Ovis aries: one gene and its partners. Each later gene encodes a partner of the first gene's protein in a complex. Links are inferred from orthologs where the notes say so. Each region holds a gene or a part of one and is shown in the gene's direction. Other genes may lie near its edges.

Evidence for each region.
Region 2: ARID1B (region 1) and DPF1 share a complex: the UniProt entries of both Homo sapiens proteins name them as parts of the neuron-specific chromatin remodeling complex. The link is inferred for Ovis aries from reciprocal best matches to the Homo sapiens genes ARID1B and DPF1.
Region 3: ARID1B (region 1) and SMARCB1 share a complex: the UniProt entries of both Homo sapiens proteins name them as parts of the neuron-specific chromatin remodeling complex. The link is inferred for Ovis aries from reciprocal best matches to the Homo sapiens genes ARID1B and SMARCB1.

What each region holds. Positions count from the first base shown.
Region 1 is NC_056061.1:81,158,797-81,168,534, forward strand, and holds the start of ARID1B (AT-rich interactive domain-containing protein 1B), read left to right. Parts: upstream 1-3,815; 5' UTR 3,816-3,830; coding exon 3,831-5,630; intron 5,631-9,738. UniProt on the Homo sapiens protein: Involved in transcriptional activation and repression of select genes by chromatin remodeling (alteration of DNA-nucleosome topology).
Region 2 is NC_056067.1:47,413,126-47,422,785, reverse strand, and holds the start of DPF1 (zinc finger protein neuro-d4), read left to right. Parts: upstream 1-3,277; 5' UTR 3,278-3,382; coding exon 3,383-3,414; intron 3,415-8,568; exon of another isoform or gene 8,569-8,626; coding exon of another isoform or gene 8,627-8,655; intron 8,656-8,789; exon of another isoform or gene 8,790-8,931; intron 8,932-9,660. UniProt on the Homo sapiens protein: May have an important role in developing neurons by participating in regulation of cell survival, possibly as a neurospecific transcription factor. Belongs to the neuron-specific chromatin remodeling complex (nBAF complex).
Region 3 is NC_056070.1:71,285,379-71,295,151, forward strand, and holds the start of SMARCB1 (SWI/SNF-related matrix-associated actin-dependent regulator of chromatin subfamily B member 1), read left to right. Parts: upstream 1-3,390; 5' UTR 3,391-3,578; coding exon 3,579-3,671; intron 3,672-6,855; coding exon 6,856-6,994; intron 6,995-8,202; coding exon 8,203-8,332; intron 8,333-9,773. Other genes in the region: MMP11 (stromelysin-3), read left to right, coding at 272-529, 1,082-1,215.

The sequences.
Region 1 (9,738 bases):
CCCATTAGCTCCATTCATAGCATTTCTCATAAATCTAAAAGGAAAGCAAGTGTCCAAAGCCTTATTCTTTAATAGTTCTTATTTGTAAAACTTTTGACAGGGCTTTAGTCTAAATTGGTTCCAAATTATGTAAAGAACATTGAGAAATATGATGGCTAGTGAATCGTGATAGTTTCAGTTACTGAATAAATAACCAGAACAGTAAAAGGGGACTAATCTTAAAGCAAACAGTGTGATGAGGTAAGGAGAACAGAACTGTGGCATTCTTAAACTACCATCTGGCTCAATCCTCTTTAAGTGGGCAGGTTTGAAGAGCCTTTTATTCAGTGCCCTAAAACTTATTCAGAGGGAATTGTATTGGAATATCAGTTTTTCATAACATTAAAAAACCCCACCAAACTCAACCCCATTTTTGTAACCATAAAGTAATGTTTAATAAAGTGCTGGGTAATCCTCTGGCTAACGGTGAGGGTGTGGGGCATTCGATGGGTGGCAGGTCAGCTGCAGGCAGGGTAAGCCCACTCTGCAGCTTTTGGGCCTTCACCTCCTCGGCTCCTTCGTGGCTAGAGTAACTTATTAAAGTTGTCATTATGGTTTGAAATTTAGGCAAGAGGTGTAAAAATAAAGAATTCATTAGGAAAAATGAATGCGGTCATTTGTAGTACTTTATTTTCCATTTGAAAACTACTGTAGAATCTCCATATAGGATAATCGAGGCAACTAACACAACAGAAACTATGATCTACAGTTCGAATCGTGCTTTTGGGAAATGTGAAACTATTTCATGACTTTGCTTTTGAGAAATGTGAACCTATTACATGACTTTCTAACAGACGCGATAACTGCGATTTTATTAAGTCCTGGATTTTTAAATGAAACTGTTAAGAGGCTTTTCTTTTGTTTTCTCAAGATGATGTGTTTGAGAAGCCTAGGTTGAATAAAGAGGAGCCCACTACTACCTTCAGCAAGATGCTTTTGAAGAGGTATTTTAGCATTCTCTGTGGTTTAGGAGACAAAACCAAGTCCTGCGGGCTTTGTGCTGTGCTTCCTTGCAGACTGCAGAGCCTTCTGTCTGCTTTAGGGTGTGGCAGCTGCCATTGGGGAGGAGAAGCTGGCAAGTGTCGCCTTTTATAGCAGACTGACTTCATTGTGCTGGGGGCCTCGTTTTCATAGCCTCTTGGTTCCAATCTTCTAGTTGACTTGCTGAAGCAAAAGCAATTAAAAGAGATTTCGCCCTATATACCTGGTTTTTTTTTCAAGTTTCATGATTTTTCTATATAGAAAAAAAGTGTTAAGAAAAGGGCCAGAGGTGAACTTGGTGACTCATTTTCCCTTTTTAGGATTAGTTGTGAAAATAAGCCACAAAATATGGCTGTACTTCTAAGAACTGATGTTGATATATTTTATCAGTTGGAAAAAATGTATTTTTATGACTATATGTGTACATAGTTGGACTATAAATGTCTAAAAGCATAAATATGTAATTGAGTTTAGAATATATGTATAAACACATATGCAAAACAGACATATATTTGTATTTGCATATGAAAACTCAAAAAATTCAACTTATGTGGTATCATCATGTAATTAGTATGTATTTGACTATATAAAGGGAGAAAATCCAGGAGAAAATGTCAAAGAGGCACACTAACAAAGATGTAGTATTCTCTTGGCAAAAACTGATGAATGATTTGACATGAATTCACCTTACATTTCTCTTATTCACTTACACGTGATAATATAACTCCTGTTTTCCAGTTGTTTGCATAGACTTGCAATTTGTTGTTTCTACATTCTATAATGACTCTTGGGTATGCACCTGATTCCCCTCCTCCACCATCAGTCACCAGTTTTCCACATATATCCTTTCCTATTTAGTCAAGTAACATATTTACACTTGGTCAAGCAAACAAAAATAACCACTGCAGTTGAAATAAATTAAAATAACCTTTATGGAAAGCTGAAGAATTAGATGATTTTAGAAAGCTACATTCTACCAAAATCATATATATCATTTCAGCTAGCAGGACTTCTTGAAAGCTCTGGTTTCAGATGCTTTCTCTCCATGAAAACTGAGTCCACACTAGTACAACTGAGCTATTGTTTAGGTTAAGAAGTCCTGCTTTGGAAGATATTCAAGATGTTACTAGGTGACAGAGTCACAATAATAAAAACATTTAAAACATCAAAAAGTGATAAAACAATGGATAGTATTTGAAGAAAAAGTGTGAAACATTTTTGCTGTAGGATTAGATTCGATAGATTTACATCATCACTGATCTTATGTTTATGAAATATAACATATATCTTTTAGTTTTGTTTCACATTACTTAGAAATGAACTCATATCAAGAGGGTTAACTGTGCACCTAACCTCTAAAATAGGATGAAAGGTGTCATACAGATTTATGAAGACATGAGATAAACCTTAGCTCTTTCTATTATGGCACCAATAGTTAAATTTCCACGTGCAAGTTGTTGGGAGCATAGCATACCACTCTACACATTTGAAGGCTTTCCTTCAGAGAGAAGACAGGCAAGTGCATTGTGAGAAAATGTTCCTTTGGGAATACTTTTGTGTTTTCATTAATAAAGCCTACGTGGGCTTCCCTGGTGGCTCAGATGGTAAAGAATCTGCCTGCAATGCAGGAGACCCCAGTTCAATCCCCGAGTCGGAAAAATCCTCTGGAGAAGGGAATGGCTCCCTACTCCAGTGTCCTTGCCTGGAGAATCCCATGGACAGAGGAGCCTGGTGGGCTATAGTCCATGGGGTCGCAGAGTCTCAGAACCGAGGGACTAACCGTGCAGGCACACACACACACTGCCTTAAAAAAAAAAATTATATCAGCATTTCTTTGGGGCAGGTGCAGTCAGTAATAAGCATGTATTGAGTACCTGCTGTGTACAGGGCACAGAGCGTCTGGAATGAGGCTAACCTTCAGTTAAAACTCTTTCCTAATTTTGCAGTTTGAAGAAGTTGTGGGAATCACACTGATGGCCCGAAATCAAGGGAGAGAGGCTAACAAGCTGAAAAATTACATAACTCTTGGGAGAGGCAGTGCTTTTGCACAGATTGCCCAAATATTTTCTTTCTCCGTCGGCTCCTCGTAACCTTTGAGGCCGACAGACAACTTTGTTCCCCGGCCCTTCTCTCCCTCTTTTGTCTGCTCGTCAGACTCGTTTTCCACCTTTGTATGGTGCCTTTTAGACGTGAAAACAAACACGCGAACGCCCGGTTGGCAAGGCGACGGAGGCACGAGGGGAAAGTGCAGCCTCCGGTCGCCCCACGCCCGCCTCGCTCCGGACGCCAGCGGCGCGGCCGGACCCGAGCTCCCCGGTCCGGGGCCGCCAGTGCCCGCGAGGCTGCACCCGGGCCGGGCGGGCAGGAGGGCGCAGGGCCCCGCGGGCCGCGGCGGCCCAGGGCTGAGTCCAGTCCGCGTTTTGCGAGTGCGCCCGAGCAGAGAGAAGTGGATAATAGTTGCTCGGGCTCGCCCGGCTCCCTCTCAAGCTATGCTGGGCCCGAGCGGCTCAAGTCAGTCGTGTATTTTTACCCATATCCGGGGTAGAGAGGAAAAAGAGAAAAAGTTTCATTTAAACCTGCACTAAAAACTTTCACCCTGAAATCACACAGCGGGAACAGGCCCAGACCGTAAGGCGTAGACCCCCGGTTCGGCTCCGGCGGGGCCCGTGGAGGGAGGGGAGTAAGGAGGGGGCTCGCTCGATTCCCGTCGGGGCGTGTGGATGCGCACAGGAGGGGCCGCAGACTAAAAAGTGGGTTTTATTGTCTCCCCCCGCACCCCCCCCGCCCGGCCTCGCCACGCCGCGGTGATCATGGCCGCGCGAGCAGCAGCAGCAGCGCGGGCGGGCAGCGGCGAGCGGCGGGCGCCCCCCGGGCCGCGGCCGGCGCCCGGGGCCCGGGGCCTGGAGGCGGGGGCGCGCGGCGCGGCGGCACCGGGACCCATGCTGGGGGGCGGCGACGGCAGCGGCCTGAGTAATGTGCACCACCACTCCCTGCACCCCCGTCACGAACTGAACATGGCCCATAACGCGAGCGCCGCGGCCGCGGTCGCCGCCAGCACTAACAGCGCCAAGAGCGGCGGCTCCGAGGCGGAGGGTGGAAGCGCCGCCGCGCTGTCCTCCTCCTCCTCCTCCTCCGCCGCGGCGGCGGCGGCGTCCTCCTCTTCCTCCTCGTCGGGCCCGGGCTCGGCCATGGAGACGGGGCTGCTCCCCAACCACAAACTGAAAACCGTTGGCGAAGCCCCCGCCGCAGCGCCCCACCAGCAGCAGCACCACCACCATCACCACCACCATGCCCACCACCTCCAACACCACCACCACCACCATGCCCACCACCTCCACCACCTCCACCACCACGCACTACAGCAGCAGCTAAACCAGTTCCAGCAGCAGCAGCAGCAACCACAGCAGCAGCAGCAGCAGCACCAACATCCCATTTCCAACAACAACAGCCTCGGCGGCGCGGGCGGCGGCACGCCTCAGCCCGGTGCCGACATGGAGCAGCCGCAACATGGAGGCGCCAAGGACGGTGCCGCCGCGGGCAGCCAGGCCGAGCCCCCGGGCCAGCCGCTGCTGAGCAAGCCGGGCGACGAGGACGACGCGCCGCCCAAGATGGGGGAACCGGCAGGCGGCCGGTTCGAGCAGCCGGGCCTGGGCGCGCAGCAGCCGCCGCCGCCGGTCGCCGTGCCCGGGGGCGGCGGAGGCGGCCCGGCCGCCGTCTCGGAGTTTAATAATTACTATGGCAGCGCTGCCCCAGCTAGCGGCGGCCCCGGTGGCCGCGCTGGGCCTTGCTTTGATCAACATGGCGGACAACAAAGCCCCGGGATGGGGCTGATGCACTCCGCCTCAGCTGCCGCCGGAGCCCCCAACAGCATGGACCCCCTGCAGAACTCCCACGAAGGGTACCCCAACAGCCAGTACAACCATTATCCGGGCTACAGCCGGCCCAGCGCGGGCGGCGGCGGCGGCGGCGGTGGAGGAGGAGGAGGAGGAGGAGGAGGCAGCGGAGGAGGAGGAGGAGGAGGAGGAGCAGGAGGAGCGGGAGCTGTGGCGGCGGCGGCCGCGGCGGCGGCGGCAGCAGCAGCAGCAGGAGGCGGCGGCGGCGGCTATGGGGGCTCGTCCTCGGGGTACGGGGTGCTGAGCTCCCCCCGGCAGCAGGGCGGCGGCATGATGATGGGCCCCGGGGGCGGCGGGGCCGCGAGCCTCAGCAAGGCGGCCGCCGGCGCGGCGGCGGCGGCAGCGGCGGCGGCGGCGACGGGGGGCTTCCAGCGCTTCGCCGGGCAGAACCAGCACCCGTCGGGGGCCACCCCGACCCTCAACCAGCTGCTCACCTCGCCCAGCCCCATGATGAGGAGCTACGGCGGCAGCTACCCGGACTACAGCAGCCCCAGCGCGCCGCCGCCGCCGCCGCCGCCGTCGCAGCCCCAGTCCCAGGCGGCGGCAGCGGCGGCGGGGGCGGCGGCGGGCGGCCAGCAGGCGGCCGCGGGCATGGGCTTGGGCAAGGACATGGGCGCCCAGTACGCCGCTGCCAGCCCGGCCTGGGCGGCCGCGCAACAAAGGAGCCACCCGGCGATGAGCCCCGGCACCCCCGGCCCGACCATGGGCAGATCCCAGGTAACCCCCGCGCCGGCCGGGCCTGCTTCCGCCGCGGCGGCCTCGCCGCGCGCTGCGAGCCCTGTAGTTTCTTTTCTTTCCGCGTTACTTTTTCTGCGTCTTCGGCCCTGGTGGGGGGGTGGTGGTGGTGTGTGTGTGTGAGGCGGAGGTGAGGAGGTGGGGGGGCGAGGCGCCCAAAGCCATTTTAACTCGCGGCTGCCTCGCTCCGAGGCCCGGCGGCGCGCAGGGTCGGAGTGCGCGGCCCGGGGCCCCGGGGGGCGGAAAGGGGGTCCCTCGCCGAGGCCCGGGACGGGCGCCGCGGTGGCCGGTCGCCGAGCGCCCGCCTCGACACCCCCGCCCCGGGCGCCGAGCCGCGCGGCCGGGACCGCGCCACCGGGAAGCCGTGTGGGCGCCGGGGACCGTTCGGGCAGCTTTATTTTATATATTTATTTATTTTTACCACAGAAATGGGCGCTCCGGGCCGGTAGGGTCTGAGGAGAAATAACTGCCCCCCGCTTCTCGGGTAGCGCCCACCATGAGCTCGAACTGAGGAAAGAATGAGGAACTTTGTCCTACCTCAGGCCACACCGCGTTTTTCCCTCTTAGAGCTCACAAGGTGAAGGCAGGAGGAAAAAAAAAAAAAAAAAAGGTTAGCTTTGTGGCAGCCGAGCGTGTGTTTCGTAGTTGTGCCCAGGCATTCGGCGATATTCGACGCGGGCTTCGAGTTTTGAGCGTTTAGTAGCCAAAAAGAGTACCCACGTCTTAGAACGATGGGGAGGAAAACGACCCTAAAATATATCGATTCATTCCCAAGAATAAGCCGGGGAAATCCATTATTTGGCTTGCAGGCTGCTTGAAAGGAGTCACCTTCAACGGATAGGCTGCGTTAAAGGAACACATTCCGGTTAAACTGAACTTATTTGGATCGTGGGTTAGGCGTACGTTTTTAGTCAGCGAACCCAGGGAGGGAGCAGACCAGTGAAAATGGATCTTTTTGAATCAGATTTATTTGGATTTTTAATTTCCTGTCCCCCCCCAAGTCCTGCAGCGTTATTAGGAAGAGTCCTGCACTCTTGCTGTTTCTCGCTCGGAGGCTGAGCCTAAAGACTGACTTGATCTCCTTTGCAAGGTTTGGAATTTGAATTGTGGAGGTAAACTGGCTGTAATAGTCTCCAGACAGCTGCCTCTGAGTTGACATCTAATCTGCCATCTGATTGGCTCCCCTCTCACCATTGGGCATTTAGCACTGCTGATGTAAATAGAAGTGCTGAGCAGTACAGTCACAAAAATTCTTGCCACAAATAATAACTGAGCTCTATTACATGCAGATGTAAGGTGAAATATTATTTAAAGCTTAAATTATTATGAATCACAGTTACTAATAAGAGGATTAAATACCTAAAAACATCACACTGGTGTCCAGTATTGGGCAGTTAGAAAATTCAGCTGTTTGACAGTCTCAGCATGGCCATTACATATCTCATTCGCTATAATTGTAGGGTGAGGATATGGCAATTGAAAAAAAATTAAACCAAGAATTTTACCAATTTCTGGATTTTGGAAAGCTTTTATAAAATAACCCTTTATGGATTAAACCATGAAAAAATTGGAATTATGTCATCACATGTAGTTTAATATAAAATTAAAACTTGTAACATTAAAAATGTCATGATTCTGATAGCCAGTGGTATATTTCAGTAATACTTAATTCGCTTTATAACAAGATTAAAACTATGTTTCTGGTAAGTTGTGCTTTAAAATTCTGATCGTTTTTAGAAGTTAGTGGATGAGGAGTTTCAGTTAGAATTGGATGTGATGTTTAAGAAAACATGAAGTGGGGAAACTATAATAATTTCTGCAGACAACAGTTAAAAGGGAAGAAATGGACCTTCTTGTGAAATTTTAAAAATTATTTTATATTTGCTTCTGATTTGGAAGCAAATGCCTCAGAAATCTTTTCCCCCCTTTGATTGTTTTGCTAGATTAGGTTATGTGAGCCTTATTTGAACTGCTTACACAATGTTTTAGGGAAACTATATTACATGCAAATTGTGCTGGGCTTCTTCCAAATAGTTTTTCTTTCATGGACATTAGAATTTTTAAAACTTTTTTAACATTAAAATATGTTAAAAAGGAATAATGGTGGCTGTAATATCTGTTTTTACTTAGCTCATTTGCTTTAGGAAGGTGTATTTTAATAATAACCTTATTTTAGATGAGAGACTTGTCAGAATGTATGCAGTACTGAATTTTTAACAGATAATCATGTGAATCCCGGGCTGAGGACGTTGGGAGTCCACTCCTTTCTAATCTTCAGTTAGTAGAGTTTTAGAGTTAATGATAATACATTTTCCTATTCTTCATAGAAAACTGGGGATTCTGATTTTTTTGATTTGGATAGGTAAAAACATAGGAAGACTTTGTGTAAATAAACCCACGTAATTAATTTTGAAAAGATTTGCTTTGTCAGCTTCCTTTTAAAGGGACAGTTTAGAATTCACATCTCTCTAAGCCAGTAACGAGGATGATAGAGGCAGATGTAGGTCGGTGTTACTTTACGGTGTTTCTTCATAATGGTACCAATCATTTTAAGTATTTTGTTTTCTTGGAATGAGAGTGAATCCTTTATGTCCTCAGTATGACCCTTAGGAATAGCTTTTTTGTTTTTAAGGGGGGAGGAAAACTGCCGGGCATATGACCTAGATTCACTGATTTCTTGTAGGTACTATACCGTATAACATGTGGAATGTGTTTTTGGTATTTTTTCTTTTTGGAAGGCTGCTATTCTTTTGTATTTGTTATGACAGTTATACTAAGGACCAGTTGTTTGTCCAAAACATTAGATTACTATGTAACTATAGGCCATGGGATACTATTACATTTTCTCATGGCTTTAGCACGGTTAGTTTCATTTTTGATTTTAGGAATGGTTTACATTGGGTGGCAAATGTTTTTGTAATTGAGAACAAAACGGGTGTATATTGTAATGGGAGGGTCTTTTTAAAAAGTGGAATAAGGCATTTTACAATATACTTAGTGGGTTTTGTGAGATAAAGTATTCAGATAAAGCAATCTCAAAAGGAATACTGAGGTCTGCTCACATATCTAAGATTTTGGGATGTTCATATTTGTGCTGAATTTCATTAGTGCTATTTTAACTTTAATTTTATAGAATGTAATACAACATAATTTTTAAAAAAGCCTTATTTACCATTAAAAGAAAACTGATTAGCTGATTTAAAAGCAGTAAGGTTTGTAAGTAATGAGACTTACAGGCTGGTTCCTGATTACCTTAAAATTTGTATAAGATACATTATAACACTCCCACTTTCCCACTCAGTACACTGTTATACTATATGATATGTTAACTCTTGTAAAGAAGTATTTGTGGACTAAATTGATATATTTGCTGAGCTATGACTGGCCAGCTGCCCCATCGTTAAGAGGAGGTGGAATTGGCAACTGTGGTTCATTTAAAAAACAAAGAAAATACGATGAAAAATGTCAACTGTTTTCTGTTTTTCTGGGTTATCTGAAATGAAATTGTGCATGGCCTAAAATTGTTTTCATTGGGGATCCTGATTTCTGTGTACTTTTGGCATTTTTTTTTTTTTTTAAGGCAACTACTCTGTAAGACAGCTGTCACTTAAATTTATGTTTATATTAACACAAAATCAATACATATTTTCCAGGGAACAACATATTCTTACCTTGCATCTGTAATAAGCCCTAATCCCTCATTTTTCTTTGGTTTTGTTTTTTTATCTATATTCAGGAATGAATTTTTGGCAAAGCTTTTTATACTCATTCCATTTTTCCCATGTCATGTTGTATCAGAAGCATCTGAATTGTGTTGTGGATATGGAAATATTCCAAATCACACCTAGACACTTGTACTAATGAACTACCTTTTAACTACCATTTTCTTTCATTAAAACTGTAAGAATAACATCTTCACTCTGGCATAAAAATATATTAATTCTGGCTTGAGAACCGATTTAAAAAATGTAAGACAGTGTAGAGGAAGTCTCTTAATATACAACCCATTTGGTAGTTTTATTAGACATAGACACATTTTAAAGAAAACAGATGTAACAGAGGGTGGTTGAATTTTCAGGTCTACATGAAT
Region 2 (9,660 bases), on another chromosome or scaffold:
TTGTTACCAAGATTCGAGTGACAGGAAGATCAGGCATCACGGACACAAGAGGTCAGGACAGGAACTTGCCTTGTGTCTGGAGAGATCAGAGGGTCAAGATTTAAAAGATTTCCCTGAAACCTCCTCCAAGAAGCCCTCCCTGACCCCCAGACTGGTCAGGAACCTCCTCTGGGCTCCCCTAGCCCGTGTATCTCCTGACCCCTCTGCCTGGGCTTCCCCCACCCTTGGCTGTCATTGTATAGTGAGGGGTCTGTTACCCGACAGGACTGCAAACTTAAGGCAAAGCCTAGGGCAGAGCCATCAGACATTTCATTGCTGGGCCTTCCCTGGTGGTCCAGTGGTTGAGAATCTGCCTGCCAATGCAGGGGACACGGGTTCGATCCCCAGTCCGGGAAGATCCCACAAGCCATGGAACAATGAACCCCGTGTGCCACAACTAGCAAGCCTGTGCTCTAGAGCCCATGTTCTGAAACCAGACAGTAGCCCTCACTCGCCACAACAAAAGACAAACCCGTGCACAGCAACGAAGATTCAGCGCAGCCAATACGTAAATAAGTAGTGCAAACACATCACTGCATGCCCACACAGGGCATGATTCTGTAGAAACGAACTTCTCCTTTCTTTTTGCCTTGAAGCTTTAGCTCCAGACCCTCTGCTGGGAAGGTTGTCTTAATTCAACAACGGCCCCCACTGCTACCCTGGCCACCACCCTGGTCCCTTGAGATTGTCTAAGTGTCTATGTGTGTGGGAGGGCACAGCCTGGGGCCCACATGACTCTCTCTCTCCTTGCTGGTTGTGCTCCACAGAGCCAGACAGTGGGGAGAGACATGGAGCATAATGACTAATTGATTCATTTATTTATTCAACAAATAATTGTTGAGCACCTGCTATTTTTCAGGCCCTGTTTTAGGTACTGGGGAGAGAGCAGTGGATTAAATAACAACCTCTGCCTCATAGAGCTGGTATTCAAAGGAATGGAGTTGGCAATAAATCAAGTAAGTAAATAGGTCTATAGTATGAGGATGGAGTACTGTAAGTGTTGGGAGAAAAAGAAAGCTTTTTTTTTTTTAAAAATATGAATCTATGTGGCTACACCAGATCTTAGTTATGGCAACACAGGATCAGCATTTTGTTGTTCAGTCACTAAGTCGTGTCCGACTCTTTGTGACCCCCTGGACTGCAGCATGCCAGGCTTCCCTGTCCTTCGCCATCTCCCGGAGTTTGCTGAAACTCATCCCATCGAGTTGGTAATGCCATCCAAACATCTCATCCTCCATCGTCCCCTTCTCCTCCTGCCCTCAGTCTTTCCCAGCACCAAGGTCTTTTCCATATGGCAAAGACTGGCATACAGGATCTAGTTCCCTGACCAGGGATTGAACCCAGACTCCCTACACTGGGAGAGTGGAATTTTAGCCACTGGACCACCAGGGAAGTCCCGGGGGGAAAAAAAAAAAGCTTTCAAGAGGACATAGAATTTCTCAGGGATGCTGTTTTAGCTGAGGTTGTCTCTGAGGGAGTGACATTAATTTAGAAACCTGAATAAAGTCATTGTTGGAACCATGAAGATGCCTGGGGGAGGAACATTCTAGGCAGTGAGAACAGCAGATGCAAAGGTCCTGTGGCTGAAGTGGGCCCGGAGTGTTCCAGGAATAAGGAGGAGGCCAGTGCGACTGGAGCAAAGTTAGTTCAGTTGCTCAGTCATGTCCAACTCTTTGTAAGCCCATGGACTGCAGAACACCAGGCTTCCCCTTCCATCACCAACTCCTGGAGCTTACTCAAACTCATGTCCATAGAGTAGGTGATGCCATCCAACCATCCAACCATGTTGTCCCCTTCTCCTCTCGCCTTCGATCTTTCCCAGCATCAGGGTCTTTTCTAATAAGTCAGCAAAGCTAGTCAAGGAAAAGAAGGGAGATGAGATCAGAAATGTAGTGGGGAGATTTCCCTGGTGGTCCAGATTGTAAGACTCTGTGCTCCTAATGTAAGGGGGCCAGGCTCCATCCTGGCTGGGAAGTAGATCCAGCACGCACACTGCAACTAAGAGTTTGCATGCCACACAACGAAGATCCTGGCAGCTGCAACTAAGACCCAGCACAGCCTAAATAAACCGAGGAAATGAGATGGAGGTTGGGGATCTGCTTAAGTAGGGCCCTGAGAGCATAGTGAGGACTTAGAACTTCATTCCAAGTGTGAAAGAAGTCATTGGAAGTTTTGAGCCAGACAGCGTGGTGATGCCAGCTGTTTTACGCAGTTCACTCTGGCTACCCTGGAGAGAATAGTCAGGGACTGTCCAGGGGGAAGATGATGGGAGGAGGGAGTCCTAGGACGGAGGCTGTGAAGGGAGAAGGGTGAGTAGATTCTGGATCTATTTGTGAATGTAGAGATAACAGGATTTGATAATGGACTTGAGGTGTGTGTGAAAAAAGAAGAGTCAAGGATGATTGATTGCACTTGGAACAAAAATCCATTTTCTTTATAATGGCCTACAAGGCCCTACATAATCTGGTTCCTTGCTCTCTGGCTAACCTTGTCTCCCTCCTCACTCACTCGACTCTTTTACACTAGCTTTCCACAATAATCTTTGAACTTGTCAAGCTTTTCCTGCTTCTGTGTATTGCATGGTGACAGCTTCTCAGGTTTCAGCTCAAATGTCACCTCCTCAGAGAAGCCACTTTCTTTATAGCACTTTCCACTCTCTAAAATTAACAGCTTGTTTGCTTGTTTATCATCTGTTTTTCCCCACTCACAGCTCACCTCCTTGAGGGCAGCAATTCTATCTGTTGTTCATGTTGTTTCCCCAGTGCCTAGAAGAGTGCCTGTCACTTAATAAATGAACAAAGGCATGGATTAACCCCTGTGCTTGTTTACAGACTGGCTTACAAAAGAAGAGACACCAGAGAAGTAGGCAAAGACAAGAATATACGACAGACTCTGGGATCATCCACACACCCAGGGGAGATCCAGAAATCAGCGGCCACCCATTCCCGCGCGCCCGTGGTTCTTGAAGGATGGAGAGCCAGAGCTGGGAAGGGAGCACTCCAGGGAAGGGAAAGGATGCTCTGGGGCGAGTCCAGTCCCGCCCTGTATCCTCAGTAGCCAATGGGCACACGGTTTTCCCGACGCCCCCTGGGACGTGTAGTCCGGACAGGGGCGCCCTCGGGCGCCGCCGAGCGCCCCTAGACTCCACGTCCCGTCGTGCGCCGGGAGGTGCGGGGATTGGCCGAGCCCCGCCCCCGGCCCGCCCCGCTTCGCTCGCGCTGCAGCCCCAAGAATGAATGAAATCGTAGCGCGCTGGGCGGCAGAGCGGGCGGCGCAGGCCGGGCTGGGCCCGCGCGCAGCGGCAGCGGCGCCCCGGGCCGGAGGCGGCCCAGCCGAGCGGGCCATGGCCACCGCCATTCAGAACCCGCTCAAGTCGTGAGTGTCCCCGCCGTCCACGTCCCTCCATCCGCCCCCAACCCGAACCCTGCCCCCGCCCTCGCTGGGGAGGGGGACGCAGTGGGCGGATGGTAGTTGAATGGGCCCCCCAGCTTGTCCCCCTGTCCCCCCGGGGCGTGCCGCCACCCCCTGTCTCCCTCCTGGGGCTGGGGGCAGGAGCCACTCCAGGGTCGCGGGGGCGCCTCTTTGTCGCTGTCAGTGAAGGAATGTGGCGCGGGCTGGGGGTGGCGGAGGCCGTTTCCCCACCCAGAGTGGGGGTAGGGGCTTCCTTCTCCTCCTCCGAGTCTCTCGGGGCGCCGGGTCTGCCCCTGCCTGGGGCTGGGAGTATGAATGCCTAAGTCCGGACCCTAGTCTCCCAGGTCTCTACCTCCTCAAAAGCATCTTTCTCTCTTTCCCCTCTCTTTCTCCCGGAACCTCGGTCTGCGCGGCCGCAGGGTGGGAGCTGAGACGTCGGGGTCCCCGATTCGATCCCTGCTGTCTCCCCCCTTTTTTTTCCTTCCCGGGTCTTCAGGACCTAAAGCCCCGACGCTCCGGTCAGTTTAGACCGTGGGCTCTCTGCCTCTCCCTGCCCGTACACATGTAATGAGAGCATCTCCTGTCTCCTTGGGGACCGGATGCCTCGGGAGAGGGTGCTGGGAGCGCCCTCAGTCTCCGGGGATTCCCTCCGTTTCTCCCTGTCCGCGTGCCTCCTCCGAGCTTCGCTTCCTCCCGGACCCCGCGGCTGGCATCCTGGACGCCTGGGTTCAAACCTACGCTGTCTCCCAGCCGTCTCCTCTCCTGGCCAGCCCTCGCTCTCTCCACTTCTTCCCTCTCTTTCCGTCTCTCTCGCTCCTTCCTCGGGATCCCGAACTCCTGGGTCCCAGTGCTCCCCGCCCCCTTCCCCAACGGTGACAGCGGGCTGGGAGTGACAGGCGCGCGGCCGCTCCGGCTCTCCCTCCCCGGCTGGCGCGCGCGGCCCTCCCCTCCCCCGCTCCCCGGCCTGGCGGGGAGGAGGCGGAGGGCGAACGCCCGCGGCGCCGCACAAAGGGGCCGGGGCGACCTCCCCCACCCTCCCCCCAGCCCCTCGCCTCCGCCACCTTGACCTTGAGCTACGGGTGCTGGGGGTTGGGGTGGGGGAGGGGCTCGGGGCGCCCCCCGCTCCCGCCCTCCGGAAAGGCTGTGCCTAGGGTGGCCGGACCTAAGGCCCCCAGTAGCTTCGGGTTTCTGATGGTGGGGGGAGTTGGGCCATGGAGGGGGCCGGGCCTTACAAGCTCGCGCCTACACGTGTGGCTTTGCGGAGAGCCAAGCCGGCTTGGAGGGCGTGTGTGGGGTTGGGGTAGGCGTGAGACAGTGTGTAACGGTGACACTTCTGCCTCCCTCTCGCTCTAATTCTTCAACACAGACGTGTTACCCCTATCAGGGACACCCTCAAACTGGCTGGCACTGGGCTCGTGTGCAGGTTGGTGGATCTATAGGTATCCAGACCTCCTCACTTTGACCTCTTGGAGTAGGTGTGGGGCAGCCATTGCGGGGGCCTGAAGACCTGAGTAAGCTTGGGGGTGGGAGTGCCAGTAGCCCTTTCTGCACTCACCTTCTGAGGGATCTACAGGAGGTGATGGGAGGGAAGGGGTTGGCTCCTGAGAGAATCCAGTCCCCTTAGGAATGGGCTCTGGAGGGTTCTGACTGCCTGTATTGGAACCTCCCCACCTTGAGCCTCAGCGTTACCATCTGTGAACTGGGGCATCATTACAGTTCTTATTATCTCATGGTTGCTGCTGTGATGTTTGTAAAGCACTTGGTACTGAGCCTGACTCTGACTAAATGTAGTGAGAGTGTCAGTTGTGTCTTGACTCTTTGCGACCCCATGGACTGGAGCCCGTAAGGCTCCTCTGTCCATGGAATTCTTCTGGCAAAGATACTGGAGTGGGTTGTCATTTCCTTCTCCAGGGGATCCTCTCGACCCAGGGATCAAACCCGGGTCTCTTGCATTGGAGGCAGATTCTTTACTGTCTAGTATCAATGTTGATTTCACTTGTGGTCCAGTTTCCACACAGGGCATGGGTGGATGGGGACAGGACTGTTTGGACATGGGAGTTTGACTGCGGCTGAGGGATCTGAGAGGGTGACTAGGGGTAAGGAAGGGGAGAGAGACCCTTCTCTAGGTGTCAGCTGTGGGTCAAATTGCACTGGTGGACAAGGGCCTCCAGGGAGCTGATGGAGTGTTCTATACTCAGGCTCCAAGCTGAGCAAAACTGATGCCAAGGTTCTGGGGGTGAGCCAGGTACCTGAGGCTAGAGGTGTGGGGGAGCAAGTGTAAGGATGTATTGGAGGCTGGTGGGAGGTGACAGAGGAAGGTGGCAAGGGCTCTTGGAGCTGAGCTGGTGGGTTGGGGGGGGGCAGGGCTCACTGTGGATGAGATTGGGGTAGCCACTGTAGGGGACCTGGAGGCCAGAGTGACTGTGAGGTGCCAGTGTCCCTGTGGCACTGTGTGATCTGTGACGCAGAGTGAAGTGCCTCACCCCCTTGCCATCTGCTCTAGGCCAGATGTGAAGCAGAGACCCACTCCCTGCTTTGGGGGTTTGAGGAGAGGGAGATCAAGGCCTTACCTGAGAGAGATGGGGGAGAGCCTGTGGAAGGCGTCTAAGACTAGAGGTGTGTGTGTGTGTGTGTGTGTGTGTGTGTGTGTGTGTGTGTGTGTGTGTGTATTTTGTTTTTTGTTTTGGGGTCATGCCTTTCTGCCTGGAGGATCTTAGTTTCCTGACCAGGGATTGAACTTATGACCCCTGCACTGGGGAGTGTGGAGTCTAAACCACTGGATCACCAGGGAAGTGTGTGTGTGTGTGTGTTTAGAAGTGACCATGGGTGTGGAAGACCTGGAGGGGCCTCTCTCATCAGGGAGGTAGGTGGGGGCATCAAGAGACAAAAGAGGTGAGGGCTTTGAGGCCTCTTCCGTCTGCCGGAGAGCTCCCTGGTAGACAAGGACATTTGTGGGCCTTTTTATCCATGCAAGGGCTCAAACCTGAACAGGAACTTTGGATGGGGGTGTGGGTTTGGTGTGGGTGAGTGGGATTTGGCAAGTGCTGTGACTCCAAAGGTCAGCTTCCTCTCTGGGCATCCCTTAGGGTGGAGTGGCAGAAAGAAGGGGGTGACCCACGTGATACAGACATCTGGGCAAGTGAATACTTATCTTAGTCTCACCTTCAAGCAAACACCAGGGGCTGACGGCATGCGACTCTACTTCCTCTGGGAAAATGGGGGTAATGGTAATATCACCCTGGTGGGTCATTATGAGGATCAGACGGGTGAGTCTCTGTTAAAGAACTGTGCCTGTACTTGGTGGCTACTCAGTATATTTATTCGTAACAAATATTTTGTAAGCATCTATTATATGCCAAGCTTCCCTGGTAAAGTAAATCTGCTCAGAGGGTAAAGAATCTGCCTGCAATCCAGGAGACTCAGGTTTGATCCCTGGGTGGGGAAGATCCCCTGGAGGAAGAAATGGCAACCCACTCCAGTATTCTTGCCTGGAGAATCCCATGGACAGAGAAGCCTAGTGGGTTACAGTTCATGGGTCGCAAACAGTCGGACACGACTGAGTGACTCACACACATATGTCAAGCGTTATTCTTTCTAATAATGGTTAGCTATCACCATTTTACATCTTAGTACATATCAGGTCCTCTTCTTGGAATGAATGAATTTATTGAACACCTACTACCTGCCAGGTACCTTTTGTTTTGTTTGTTTGTTTGCTAAACTGCATGGCATAAGGGATCTTTGTTCCCCAACCAACCTGTGCCCTCTGCAGTGGGAGTGCGGAGTCTCAACTACTGGCTGCTGCTGCTGCTGCTAAGTCGCTTCAGTCGTGTCCGACTCTGTGCGACCCTATAGATGGCAGCCCACCAGGCTCCCCTGTCCCTGGGATTCTCCAGGCAAGAACACAGGAGTGGGTTGCATTTCCTTCTCCAATGAATGAAAATGAAAACGGAAAGTGAAGTCGCTCAGTCGTGCCAGACTCTCAACGACCCCATGGACTGCAGCCCTCCAGGCTCCTCTGTCCATGAGATTTTCCAGGCAAGAGTACTGGAGTGGGGTGCCATTGCCTTCTCCGACTACTGGACCAACAGTGAAATCCCCATCAGATGCCTTTTGAAGCAATTTACCAATATTTAAGGGCTTCCCAGGTGGTGCTAGTAGTAAGAACCCTCCTGCCAATGCAGGAGACATAAAGAGTCCCTGGATTGGGAAGATCCCCTAGAGGAGGGTATGGCAACCCACTCCAGTATTCTTGCCTGGAGAATCCCACAGACAGAGGAGCCTGGCGGGCTACAGTCCACGGGGTCATAAAGAGTCAGATACGACTGAAGCGACTTAACACATGCACACCCCAATACTTACTCATTTAATGCTCACAATAATCCAATGAGGTATCATCCTTATTTTACAGATGAGGAAACTGATTCCCAGAAAGATTAAGTTATTTGCCCAGGGTTACATGGCCACCAAGTGGTAGAGTCAGGATTTGAACCCATGAAGTGTGGCTACAGCACACACGTAACTGGCACGGCTGCTGTCAGGCCGGGGAAGGGGCTGAATCGGGCGTGGTCCCTGTGAGAGAGACAGCCCCGACGGTGACCAGAGGCCGGGGACCGAGAGGGTGCTCTGGAGCTAGGAGGGACTCGGGGGAGAGGCGGCGGCAGGGAGCCATGCGTTGGCGGGACGTTTGCGTGGGCATCTGTACGTTGTCTCTAAGTCTCCTGGCACTCAAGTGTTTGTGTGAGTGCAAATGTATGCGAGTCTATGCGAAGGTGTGGGAGAGGGAGTGTGCGTGAGTCTGCGTGGGAGGCTGTGAGTATATGTGTGAATGTGTGTGTAAGTCGCCGTGTGTGGGTGTGTGCGAGCCCAGGTGTGCATGCGTGAGTGTAGACCCATGTGCGAGACTCCGAGGTGTGCATGGGTGAGCGTGCGCGAGTGGCTATGCGTGCCTCGAGCCCCATCTCTGACCGGCTTCCCGCTGGGGTCCCGCCTGCCGCAGGCGGGGAACTACCACTCCCAGCATGGCCCGGGCGGGCCCGCCCCGCCGCCCTGATTGGCTGTGGCCCCGGTGCTCCCGCCCCCCGGGAATGAATGGATGGGCGGCCTCAGCGCCCGCCCGAGCGCTGGGAGGACCGGCCCGGCGGGGACCTGCTGGGGGCAGGACCCGGGGAGCAAGATGGCCACGGTCATCCCCGGCCCCCTGAGGTGCTGCGGGACGGCGGGAGGCGGGGGAGGGAGCGCGGGCGGATCGAGCGGGCGTGTGTGTGTGTGGCGGCTGGGGGTGGGGCCGATGGGGTGTCTGGGGGGCTGTCACCGTGGGCCGGGCTGCGCGGGGTTGCGAGTGTGTGTGACTGTGGGTCTCTGGCAAGAACCGTGTCCGACGCGCTGCTTTTGGAGGAGAGGAGAGTGTGCGGAACTCCGAGTCCTCTTCGGGAAAAGGGGGTCATGTCCCGCCCCGAGACCCCCGGGGTTGGGGAGAAGGTGAAATGGACTAGGGGCGCGGGGACCTTGGTAAACTTGAGTGAAGCTCACAGTACCTTTGTCTTGGGATATGGAGTGTGTGTCACTTGTTCGGATTCTGGTGTTTTTTATTTTTTTTGGATATGTGTGTGGATGTGTATTTGGTTTCTTTTATTCTACTCTAGGTATCTTTGGATATTTGAGTCTTTGAGTGTGTGTGCATGTCCTTTGAAACTGTGCCTCATTTGTGTTCTGTCTTTGGATATGTAGGTATTCCTGTATTTATGTGCAAATTTTTGTGTGAATATGGGTGGATTTGTTTCTACATTGAGTATATGTGTATCTTTGTGTATTTGAATATGTGGTATTTTAGATGTTGGTTTCTATATTATTGTGTATCTTTGTGACTGTGTGTGTGTATCCTGTGTGAATCTGTGTGATTTCTTTGTATAGTGTATCTGAATTGTGTGTGATTTGTGTTGTGTATTTGGATATGTGTGTAAGTGCTTAAACGGGTAGTTTGTTTTAACATTTTTCCTCTTAACATTGTGTACCTGTGTCTTTGGATGCATGAGTGAGTGTGAGTGACTGTGGTGTGTAATCTGTTTACATGTTGTGTGTCTTTGTGTGGGTGATTGTTTATGTTGTGTGTCTTTGGATATGTGATGTATATTTGTGCATGGACACGTGTGTGATCTGTCTGTTTCTACACTATGGAACTTGAGAGATCTGTATTTTTCAGAAGATATT
Region 3 (9,773 bases), on another chromosome or scaffold:
CAGGGTGGGCAGCCAAGTGCAGGGAGTGGGCGCCCAGGTGGCCTCTTTGCTGCTCAGAACGACCTTTCCCACGTGTACCTCCCAGCGCCGCTGGCATTGCCCAGTGTCCTTCTTGGGGGTGGGGTTGCCAAGCAGGCGTTATTACTGGCCTTTTGTGTTTTATGGACAAGGAAACTGAGGCTGGGAAGGTCTGAGGTGGTGTCGGTGGCGGAGTGTGGCCGCTGGGCAGCCCTGTTGCAGCACACGCCCCCCAACCCCGTGTCTCCAACAGGAGCTCAGTACTGGGTGTACGACGGCGAGAAGCCGGTCCTGGGCCCTGCGCCCCTCTCTGAGCTGGGGCTCCAGGGGTCCCCGATCCATGCCGCCCTGGTGTGGGGCTCCGAGAAGACCAAGATCTACTTCTTCCGAAGCGGGGACTACTGGCGCTTCCAGCCCAGCACCCGCCGTGTGGACAGCCCCGTGCCGCGCCGGGCCACTGACTGGCGAGGGGTGCCCTCGGAGATCGACGCGGCCTTCCAGGATGCTGAAGGTGTGCAGGGGGCGGGCCTCTGCCCGGCCCCCTCCCTCTCCGCCCCTCCTCCTGCCAAGGACTGTGCTAACCCCCTGTGCTCCATCTTTGTGGCATGGAGACTGGGGCCCGTGCCTGGGCCCCTTGGGTGTGGCTAGCGAAATCAGTCAGAGGCTCCAGCTTCTGTCAGGCTGGGTGGTAGCTCAGACCAGATCCTGAGGGCAGGTGGGAGGGCTCACCCAAGGGTAGGAAGACGCTGGGGCTTCCCTGGTGGCTCAGATGGTAAAGCGTCTGCCTGCAATGCAGGAGACCTGGATTCGATCCCTGGGTAGGGAAGATCCCCTGGAGAAGGAAATGGCAATGCCATCCAGTACTGTTGCCTGAAAAATCCCATGGACGGAGCAGCCTGGAAGGCTACAGTCCATGGGGTCACGAAGAGTAAGACACGATGGAGCGACTTCACTTTCCTAAGGGCCACCTGAGGTCCTTGGGTTTCAAGGAACCCAGCAGTGGCCAAGGCCTGCGCCCACCCCTGTGTCCACTTACCAGGCCCTGACCCTCCTGTCTTCTCAGGCTTCGCCTATTTCCTGCGTGGCCGCCTCTACTGGAAGTTTGACCCCGTGAAGGTAAAAGCCCTGGAGGGCTTCCCCCGTCTCGTGGGCCCCGACTTCTTCGGCTGTACTGAGGCTGCCAACAGTTTCCGCTGATCATCGCCTGCTGTCCTCAGGCCCTGACACCTCCACACGGGAGACCGTGGCCGTGTCTGTGGCTGTAGGTGCCAGGGAGGGCATGGAGCCATGGCTGCTGAGGGGGCAGGGCAGGGTGCTGCCACCAGGACTGCAGGGAGGGCCACGCGGGTCGTGGCCACTGCCAGCGACTGTCTGAGACTGGGCAGGGGGGCTCTGGCAGGGAGGCTGAGGGTGGTCTTGGGCCGGCTCCACGCAGCCTGTGCAGGTCACATGGAACCCAGCTGCCTATGGTCTCCGTCCACACCCCTCAGGGTTGGGCCTCAGCAGGGCTGGGGAGCTGGAGCGCTCACTGTCCTCGCTGTGGGGTCCCACAGGGGGCTGGCACCTGGGTGTCAGGATCCTGCGCCTCCTGCCTCCCACAGGGGTTGGCTCTGGGTAGGTGCTGTCTTCCAGTTCGGTGGTTCTGGAGACCTGTTCCCCAGGATCCTGGCCGAAAGGCCCGGTCAGCTGGTGGGGGTGCTTCCTGACAGAGACGCTGCGCCCTGGGGGCCCCAGCATACCTCAGTCCTATCACGGGTCAGATCTTCCAAAGCCATGTAAATGTGTATAGTGTGTATAAAGCTGTTTTGTTTTTCGTTTTTTTTAAACCGACTGTCATTAAACACGGTCATTTTCTACCTGCCTGCCTGGGGTGTCTCTGTGAGTGCAAGGCCAGGATAGGGGTGGAGCTGGACCAAGAGTTGGGAGGCTTGGCTGGGGACCCGCACAGTCCTCTGGTCCTGGGGGCCGGGTGTCGCGTTTAGGGGCCCCCCTGCTCCATCTCGTCCTGCTTGAAGGCCTACAGTGGCTTCAGTCTGCTCCCCATTTCCCCAGCGGCCTCTCAGACCATCGTCCACCAAGCGCTGCTCACATTTTCCGATCCTGCCACTGTCAGGACACAGAACCGAACTCAAGGTTACCGTGGCCGACTCCTCACTCTCTGGGGTCTACTTGCCTGCCACCCTCAGAGAGCCCAGGATCCGCCTGCAATGCAGGAGTGAGTGAAGCCACTCAGTCGTGTCCGACTCTTTGCGACTCCACAGACTGTAGCCTACCAGGCTCCTCTGTCCATGGGGTTTTTCAGGCAAGAGTACTAGAGAAGGTTGCCATTTCCTTCTCCAGGGGATCTTCCCAACCCAGGTCTCCTGCAGAGCAGGCAGACTCTTTACTGTCTGAGCCACCAGGCAATGCAGGAGACCTAGGTTCAGTCTCTGGGTGGGGAAGACCCCCTGGAGAAGGGAATGACAATCCGCTCTAGTATTCTTGCTTGGGGAATCCCATGGCTACAGCCCATAGGGTGCAAAAAGACATGACGGAGCAAGTCACACACACACAAACACACACACACACACACCCTACACACACACACGCCCCTACACACACACACGCCCCTATACACACACACACACGCACCCTACACACACAGACGCTACACACACACACACCCCCCTACGTGGATGCTCATAGCGGCGCCTCTCATAGCTGCCAGGTATCAGGTGCTGACATGGGCAGCCATCAGCAGTGGGCCGTTTCTGACCTACTGCCGTGCTCCACCGGATACACGGGTGCCTCCCTGTGTGTCGGCCCGCTGGGCTGCCAGCGCCCCAGGGCAGGGGGAGGCACAGGGCACAGAGTTAAGGAGAGGACGGGGACGTTCGCTCCTCCCCAGCTCTCAGCGGGCAAAACAGACGCCGGCTGGGCCTAGGAATCCTGCAAGCCCGGTAGTCTCAGCCCATGCCCGCCCCATCCCCAGAGCCACAGGAACGGGGGCCGGGGGGCTGGCCCGGAGCTGGGATACTGGTCCCTGGGCCGCCCATGTGCTCAGCCGCACAGCGTCCTCTGGGCGGGGAAACTGAGGCAAGGGAGCCTCTGGCTTCCTCCCGGCCTTCCGGGCCTCGCCTCGTGCCTCCTCACCAGGGCAGCACGCCAGCCCCGGCTGTGAGACGGGGAAGGGCGCCGCTCGAGTCAGGGCGGCGGCTGCTATTTCTGCCCGTGAGCGGCCTTCCCTGGTACCTCCACTTGGGAGGCGGCCGGGAAGGCCGAGAAACGGGCCGAGGCTCCTTTAAGCGGCCCGCGGGGGCGCGCTCGGCCCTTTTGTCAGGGCGGCGACGGCGGCGGCGACGCGCGCGTCAGCGTCAACGCCCGCGCCTGCGCACTGAGGGCGGCCTGCTCGTCTTCTGCGGCGGCGGCGGCAGAGAAGCCCAGCGGCGGCGCGAGCGCCCCCGGCCCGGCCCGCCCTTCACCTCCCGCGTCGGCTTCCCCGGGCTAGGAGCGCCCCCGGCCCCGCCTCGGCCCTCCCGATCCTCGCAGCCCGGCCGTGGCCGCCCGCGTCTGCCGCCGCAATGATGATGATGGCGCTGAGCAAGACCTTCGGGCAGAAGCCCGTCAAGTTCCAGCTGGAAGACGACGGCGAGTTCTACATGATCGGCTCTGAGGTAGCCGATCCTTGCCCTCCGGGCCTCCCGGTCGGCCCGGTTCCCGCGGGAGCCTCGGGGCGGGTCTGCGCGCCGGGAACGCGCGTCTCCATTCATCGCGGAGGGCCTGCGTGCGCGTGCGCGGCCTGGCGCATCGGGGCGTGGCCTGTTGGGGCGTGGCTGAGCAGCCCCGCCCCCGCCGTCTGGGCACGCCCACCCGTGTCCCGCAGGGACGCGGTGGGCGGATCGGGTCGAGAGCGTGGTCTATCGGGGCGTGGTCGAGCAGGCCCCGCCCCGCGCTCCGCAGTCTGGGAACGCTCACGCGTGTCCCTGGCCGCGGGGGTCGCGGTGGCCCCGGGTCCGCGCTGAGTTCCACAACTCCAGCCGGACGTACAGAAACGGGGTGTTGGGTTATCCCTTGCTGCACACGGGGCGAGGAGTTGGACCCCTCGCACGCTCCCTCCTCTCCCTCGTTGCCCCAGCTGGAATCCTGAAACCGCTGATTCGAAACACCGAGCTTAGTCGGGGGCTCACCCGCTTGGTGCTCTTTGACTTGGAGTTGGGCGGGTGGGCGTTCTGATCTTCCATTATCAGTGAGAAGACAGGTTGGGAGAACGATGCTTGATTTTGGATGGCTAGGGCCCAGCCAGCCCTGAGCTAGATCCATCAGCAAATGGGAGGCACCTGGCACTTCGGCTATCTTGGACTAACTCTGAGTTAGTGCGAGGGAACGAGCGCGGAACCCCTTCATCCTTACCTAAACAGTGACCTTGCAGCACTGTGAGCCGGCTGGGTTAGCAGTGTGCACCAAGTATACGAAGTTCTTCCAGTGTCCCTCAGCCTTTGGCAGTCTCCGGCGTGTGCGTGTGTGTCCACACACACATTTTAAAATTACGGATCCGCAGTTCAGGTGTGCAAGCGCCGAGCAGCAGTGCCTCCCTTTTGTAGAGAGGCGAGTGCGGGTCTTGGGGAGTTACAGCAGTCACAAACGCCGCCGACGCTTGCTTCTCCTGGCAGCAGTTTTCAGTTTTACGCATTTCACTCTTTTGTTCTTTTTTACCATTTTTTTTCCCTCTTCATGATGGAATACGCTGTGAATGAATTAAGCCTCATGATGGTCACACTCAGTGAGGCTTTCGGGAGTCCCTGTGACTCCCTGTGGCTTGTCTGACTTGTATTGAGTTAGGAGACCCATGTTGTCAGTAGCATCAGAACTTTCTGTGTTTCCTTTCCTCACCGGTTTTTATGAAACACGGGGCCGGATGCAACGTACTTTCACATTATCACAGAAACGCTCCTCTTGACAGCTGGCCGTACTGGAGAGAGGCGCCACTGCCTGCCACGTGCCGCAGCTCAGAAGGGTCTTCGCCAGCCTGTGGGCACGGATGCGGCATGTGGTGACTGGCAGGTTAACTAAAGAAACCTTCACCGGATCTAACGGGCAGGAAGGAAAAGCGCTTGGTTTAGCACTGGCTCTGAGTCGGTGGTACTTTTGAAAATCAAGCTTGTGTTTACTGGGTGGAGCCCGGTGTCAGGTGGGCAGAGCGTGAGGAGCTCTGGCTCCAGCCTGGTGTCCATGGCACTTGTCTCGGGCATCTGATGAGATGCTTAGGCTAGACAGCTTCTGCAACTTGCCCTGCAGCACATCTCAGACTGAGAAAGACAACTGCAGTCTTGGTGAGTGAGAAGATTTGTCCTGAGATGCAGTTTATGGAGACCAGACGGCAGGAGGGAGAGGCAGTTGCCGTCCGGGGCCTGACTTTACAATGTTCAGACCTCAGGAGGCCTGGGCAGGGTTCAGGGCTAGACTGGCATCTACTCACAGCCAGCAGCTCTTCTGACAGCAGGGGTGCTTGGCCCCCGGGCGGTTTCCCTGGGCAAACAGCAGGCGCTGGTTTCCAAGAGGCACGCCAGGCAGAGCAGTGCCTACAGCGCCCCACACCACTCGGGGTAGCAGCCTTGGGAGGGTGTCTGCAGCTGCCCCAGTCCTGCCCCCCCCAGGGGCAGCTGTCATCACCACACAGAGGCACAGCCGAGGGGAGCCCAGGGGGCCTCCATACCAACACCTTCGTTTTCCATTTGGGAAACCCAGGTCCAGAGGGGGCAAAAGCTTGTGCAGGGAAAACCCAGGGGGCAGACTGAGTCCCCTGAGTTCTGAAGGGACCTCGGGAAGGGCCTAGGAGGCTGGGAAGCCTGCAGGACCTGCACGGTGGTACTGGGGGCATTAGGGTCAGTGTCTTGTCAAAAACCTCCTAGAAACTCTATGTTTACCCCCAGATGGTAACCACGCTCAAGCCAGGTAACTCGAAAGGGCCTGCCCCTGCAGCAAGGAGCAGGAGGGACGTTGTGGCCGCTCTCTCACGCTGTTCAGCAGCCGTGGTTGTGTAAATCTCTAAACTCATGAAAAATGGAGAAACTAAAAAAGAAAAATACTATAGTGGGGTAGGTACATGGGAAAATAGCACAAGTGGGTCCTTCGAGGGTGAACTTTACAGCTGATGAACATCTGTCAAGAGGAGTAGGGAGGCTGAGAAGAGGGCAGTGTTGCCCGCTCACAGAAGAAGCCAGCACCCAGTCCAGCGACTGTCCCTTGCCACGTGATCGAGTGGTTGTTTCTGAAAAGTTGGTGAAGCAGTGAAGTTTCTTTGTAAAAACGTTAGGACTAGGTTTGTTTTTGTCAAGTAAGTTGTGCTTTGAGCATCTGGCACAGGCAGGCTGTTGTTTGGGGCAGTGATGCTGTATGCAGCCAATCCAGTGATTGCTGATAAGCGCTTTTGAAACTCTTTGGAAAATTCCTTTGGTATTTTTGGTTTGAGTTTTGTTACTAAACAAAGCAGCAAGGGCCACGGGGGAAATTATCCTACATCTGTCTAAAATTAAAAGCCCTTTTTGGTGTTTATTACATCGTAAAAATATCAGAGTCTTAAGATAAAAGGAAGAGAGGCCTCACATTTTTGGACTGCGCCAGAGATCTTTAGTGCAAGGTCAGAGCTTCTCGGGGAGCTCTGGGCCAGGTGCGGGCCAGACCTCCGCTCCTGCGGAACCCCCGATGTCAGCAGATCGGGCTTTGCCTGCTTTCGGAGCCCGGCGCCTGCAGGCCGCGGTGGTCTGCGTGTCACTAAGGTGGCAGAGCCTCTGCGCCAGGGCCCTTCCCTTCCCCGAGGAGCCCCGGCCCTCGTAATGAGCCTTCTCGCTTTACCCCTAGGTGGGAAACTACCTCCGTATGTTCCGAGGTTCTCTGTACAAGAGATACCCCTCGCTCTGGAGGCGACTAGCCACTGTGGAAGAGAGGAAGAAAATAGTTGCTTCGTCACATGGTAAAAAAACAAAACCTAACACTAAGGGTGCGTCTTCACGAGGGTTTGTAAACCTGTTTCAAAACCACTCGCTTATGTCATGAAGATAAAACGTTTTCACCCCGGCGTGTCTTCACGGCAGTCCTGACCTTAGCGCGGCGGAGCGTCCCCGGGGTGGGGGTGGGCTCCCCGGTGCGGGTGGGGGTCCTCGGTCAGGGTGGTCGGGGTCAGGGCATGCCCGGCGGTCGGAGGGCCGGGCGGGGCGCGGGCGCGGTGAAGACGCGCCGGTCTGAAAACGTTTTAGGATTGCTGTGATGCTGTGCTGTCCGCGGGCGTGCGCCATCCTCACCCTCCATGCGCCCGGGCGGTGGGGCGGCCCTGGCCCCGCCCCCCTCCGGGCCGTCACCGCTTCGCTCCCCGCCCCTCCCCGTCCCCACCCCCCAGCCCATCCCGTGGCACCTGGTCTGGCAGCCGGTCCACCAGCGCTGGCTCGTGTGCATGTTTGCTCCATGCTGTGTGCCCCTGGGCCACGGGGCGCCGCCTCCGGGCCGGGCACCAGGGCGCCCTGGGACAACCGGCCCGCGCCCCGCGTGCGCGCGCCCGTGTGTGTGTGTGTGTGTGTGCGCGTGCGCGTGCGCGCGCTCCGCAGTCTGTCAGGTGTGAGTGTGTCCGTGGCGCTGCCGTGGCCTGTCCACCGCGTTCTTTTAACGCAGGAGCCGGAGCCTCTTGTCCGCGCACTGCTGTGACCTTTCAGCCCCTCCCGGGCCCTCCTGCGCCGGGTGCAGTGCCGGTCAGTAACCCTGCGCCCCTAGCTGCGCTTGCCCCTGGTGAGCCTTGGCGACCCCAGGCCTGGTGCTCCCTGGGGAGCCACCTTCTCCTAACCCCCCGCCTCCACCCGGCTCCCCAGGCAAGCTGTGGTCGGACTGCGGAGAGCTCGGGCTCCCAGGGCGCTGGCGCCAGGGCCAGCTCTTGTTGCGTGTGCAGCGGCTCTTTCCAACTCTCTGGGCTCTTGTTTTAAAAGAAGAGTGTTTCTCATCCCTCATCCCATCTCCACCTCGCTTCGTGTCGTGGACTGCAGCGGTGTCAGACCTCTTCCCGCCGGCTGGCTCACTCTGGAGCCCTCCTGTCCCCAGAGGCCCTGTGGCTGGAGCCCGAGCAGGCGGCCCAGCAGGGCTTCTGGAGAAAGCCAGGGTCCAGGCCGCCCCTTTGGAAGAGGCCCGCGTCGGGCAGGCTGACCGCAGCCCCATCTCTTGCAGATCATGGATACACGACCCTGGCCACCAGCGTGACCCTGCTGAAAGCCTCCGAGGTGGAGGAGATCCTGGACGGCAACGACGAGAAGTACAAGGCCGTGTCCATCAGCACCGAGCCCCCCACCTACCTCAGGTACCGCCGGCCCCCTGTGCTCACAGGCCGTCTCCTCCAGGTTTCCAAGTGTCTGTCTTTGGAATTTCTAAGAAATGTAAGCCAAGCCCTCGGTTCTGGAGAGTGGTTAAGAATGCTTTGAAAGGCAGAACAATGAGTGGCCTAGGTTCACTCCCAAAAGAAACACACAGCGGTTTTGAAGTAGAAACTCGGGTCCTTTGAAAGCACGTTCCCAGTTGAACAGGCGAGGGTCACGGGGACGTTGCTGCTTGTGGGTAGTTTGTTCATTCAGACTTATCAGCAAAACTTGGACACGCTAATAGACAATAGATGAAGGGTGTAGAGCAGACACACAGGGGGAACGGTGTTTGTCCTTCAGTAGCGTTTCTAAAATGCAGAGTAAAAATAGGCATAGCCGGCAGCATGAAGAAGCAGGGAGGGAGGGAGCTCGCTGGGCCGCTCTGCACCACAGCTGCCCTGCGCCAGGCTCTGCGGCAGCCTCAGCCTCGTTTGGATCTCCGGCCCATTCGTCTCAGTCCCGGGAAGCACTGTACAACGAGGGCCGTCCTGAACCCAGAGATACCCTTGGCAGTGTGGGAGAGTCCTGCCTGGGGGAGGCAGGTGGCTGCAGAGAGCCGGGGCTGCATCTGTGTGCTGGGCAGGCAGACCGGCAGCGAGCCCGGGCCACGAGTGAGGCGGGCAGCAGGCCTGCTGGCACCTTCAGCTCTCTGGGCACGAGACCCAGGGCACTGGCAGTGGGGGAGGAGGGGGAGGGGGCGGGGACGTGGACAGTCCCCTTCCAGGTTTTCTCCCAACTGCACCATCGGATTCTTTTTCTAACCCCCGCCCCCGCCACCCCCCGAAGAAGGTGTGTGCTCACAGCCTGGCCCATTGTAGACGTGAGCGCTGCAGATGGCTTTTCTCGCCCCGGTGGTGCGGTGAGGATGGCGGCATAGCTGGGCTTCCCTAGAGAAGTCACTGGAGGAGATTCCGTGCACGTGGATGGGGCTTTGAGATCCGCATGCGCAGCTGGGGACCTTGTGTGGGGCAGTGAACACTCCTGGCTGAGTCCATCACATGAAGGAGAGAGCTAGGCCAGTAGCCTCCTGTTGCTGGGCAGTGAGAACTGCTGTGTGGCGGTGGGGCTGCAGGCAAGCCACCAGTGGGCTCCACTGTCAGGAGGCGCCTGCCCAGCGCCCAGCCAGCCCCCCGGAGGGGTGGCACGCCCCCTCCCCCACACTAGCCAGGTCAGGCAGGGCCTGGATGCCCCCCGGGGCTCTTGGACAGACCTCTCTGCAGTGGAAGGGAGGCTGAGTGGTGGGACTCAGATGCCCGGACCCCGCGTGGCGCTGCATCGCCCCGCTCGCATGCTGCGACATGACTTGCATTGTCCACGTGAGGCCATCAGGCAGGAGGGGTCAGCCGGGCAGACTCGGCCTAGATACAAGAGGCTGCTGCAAGA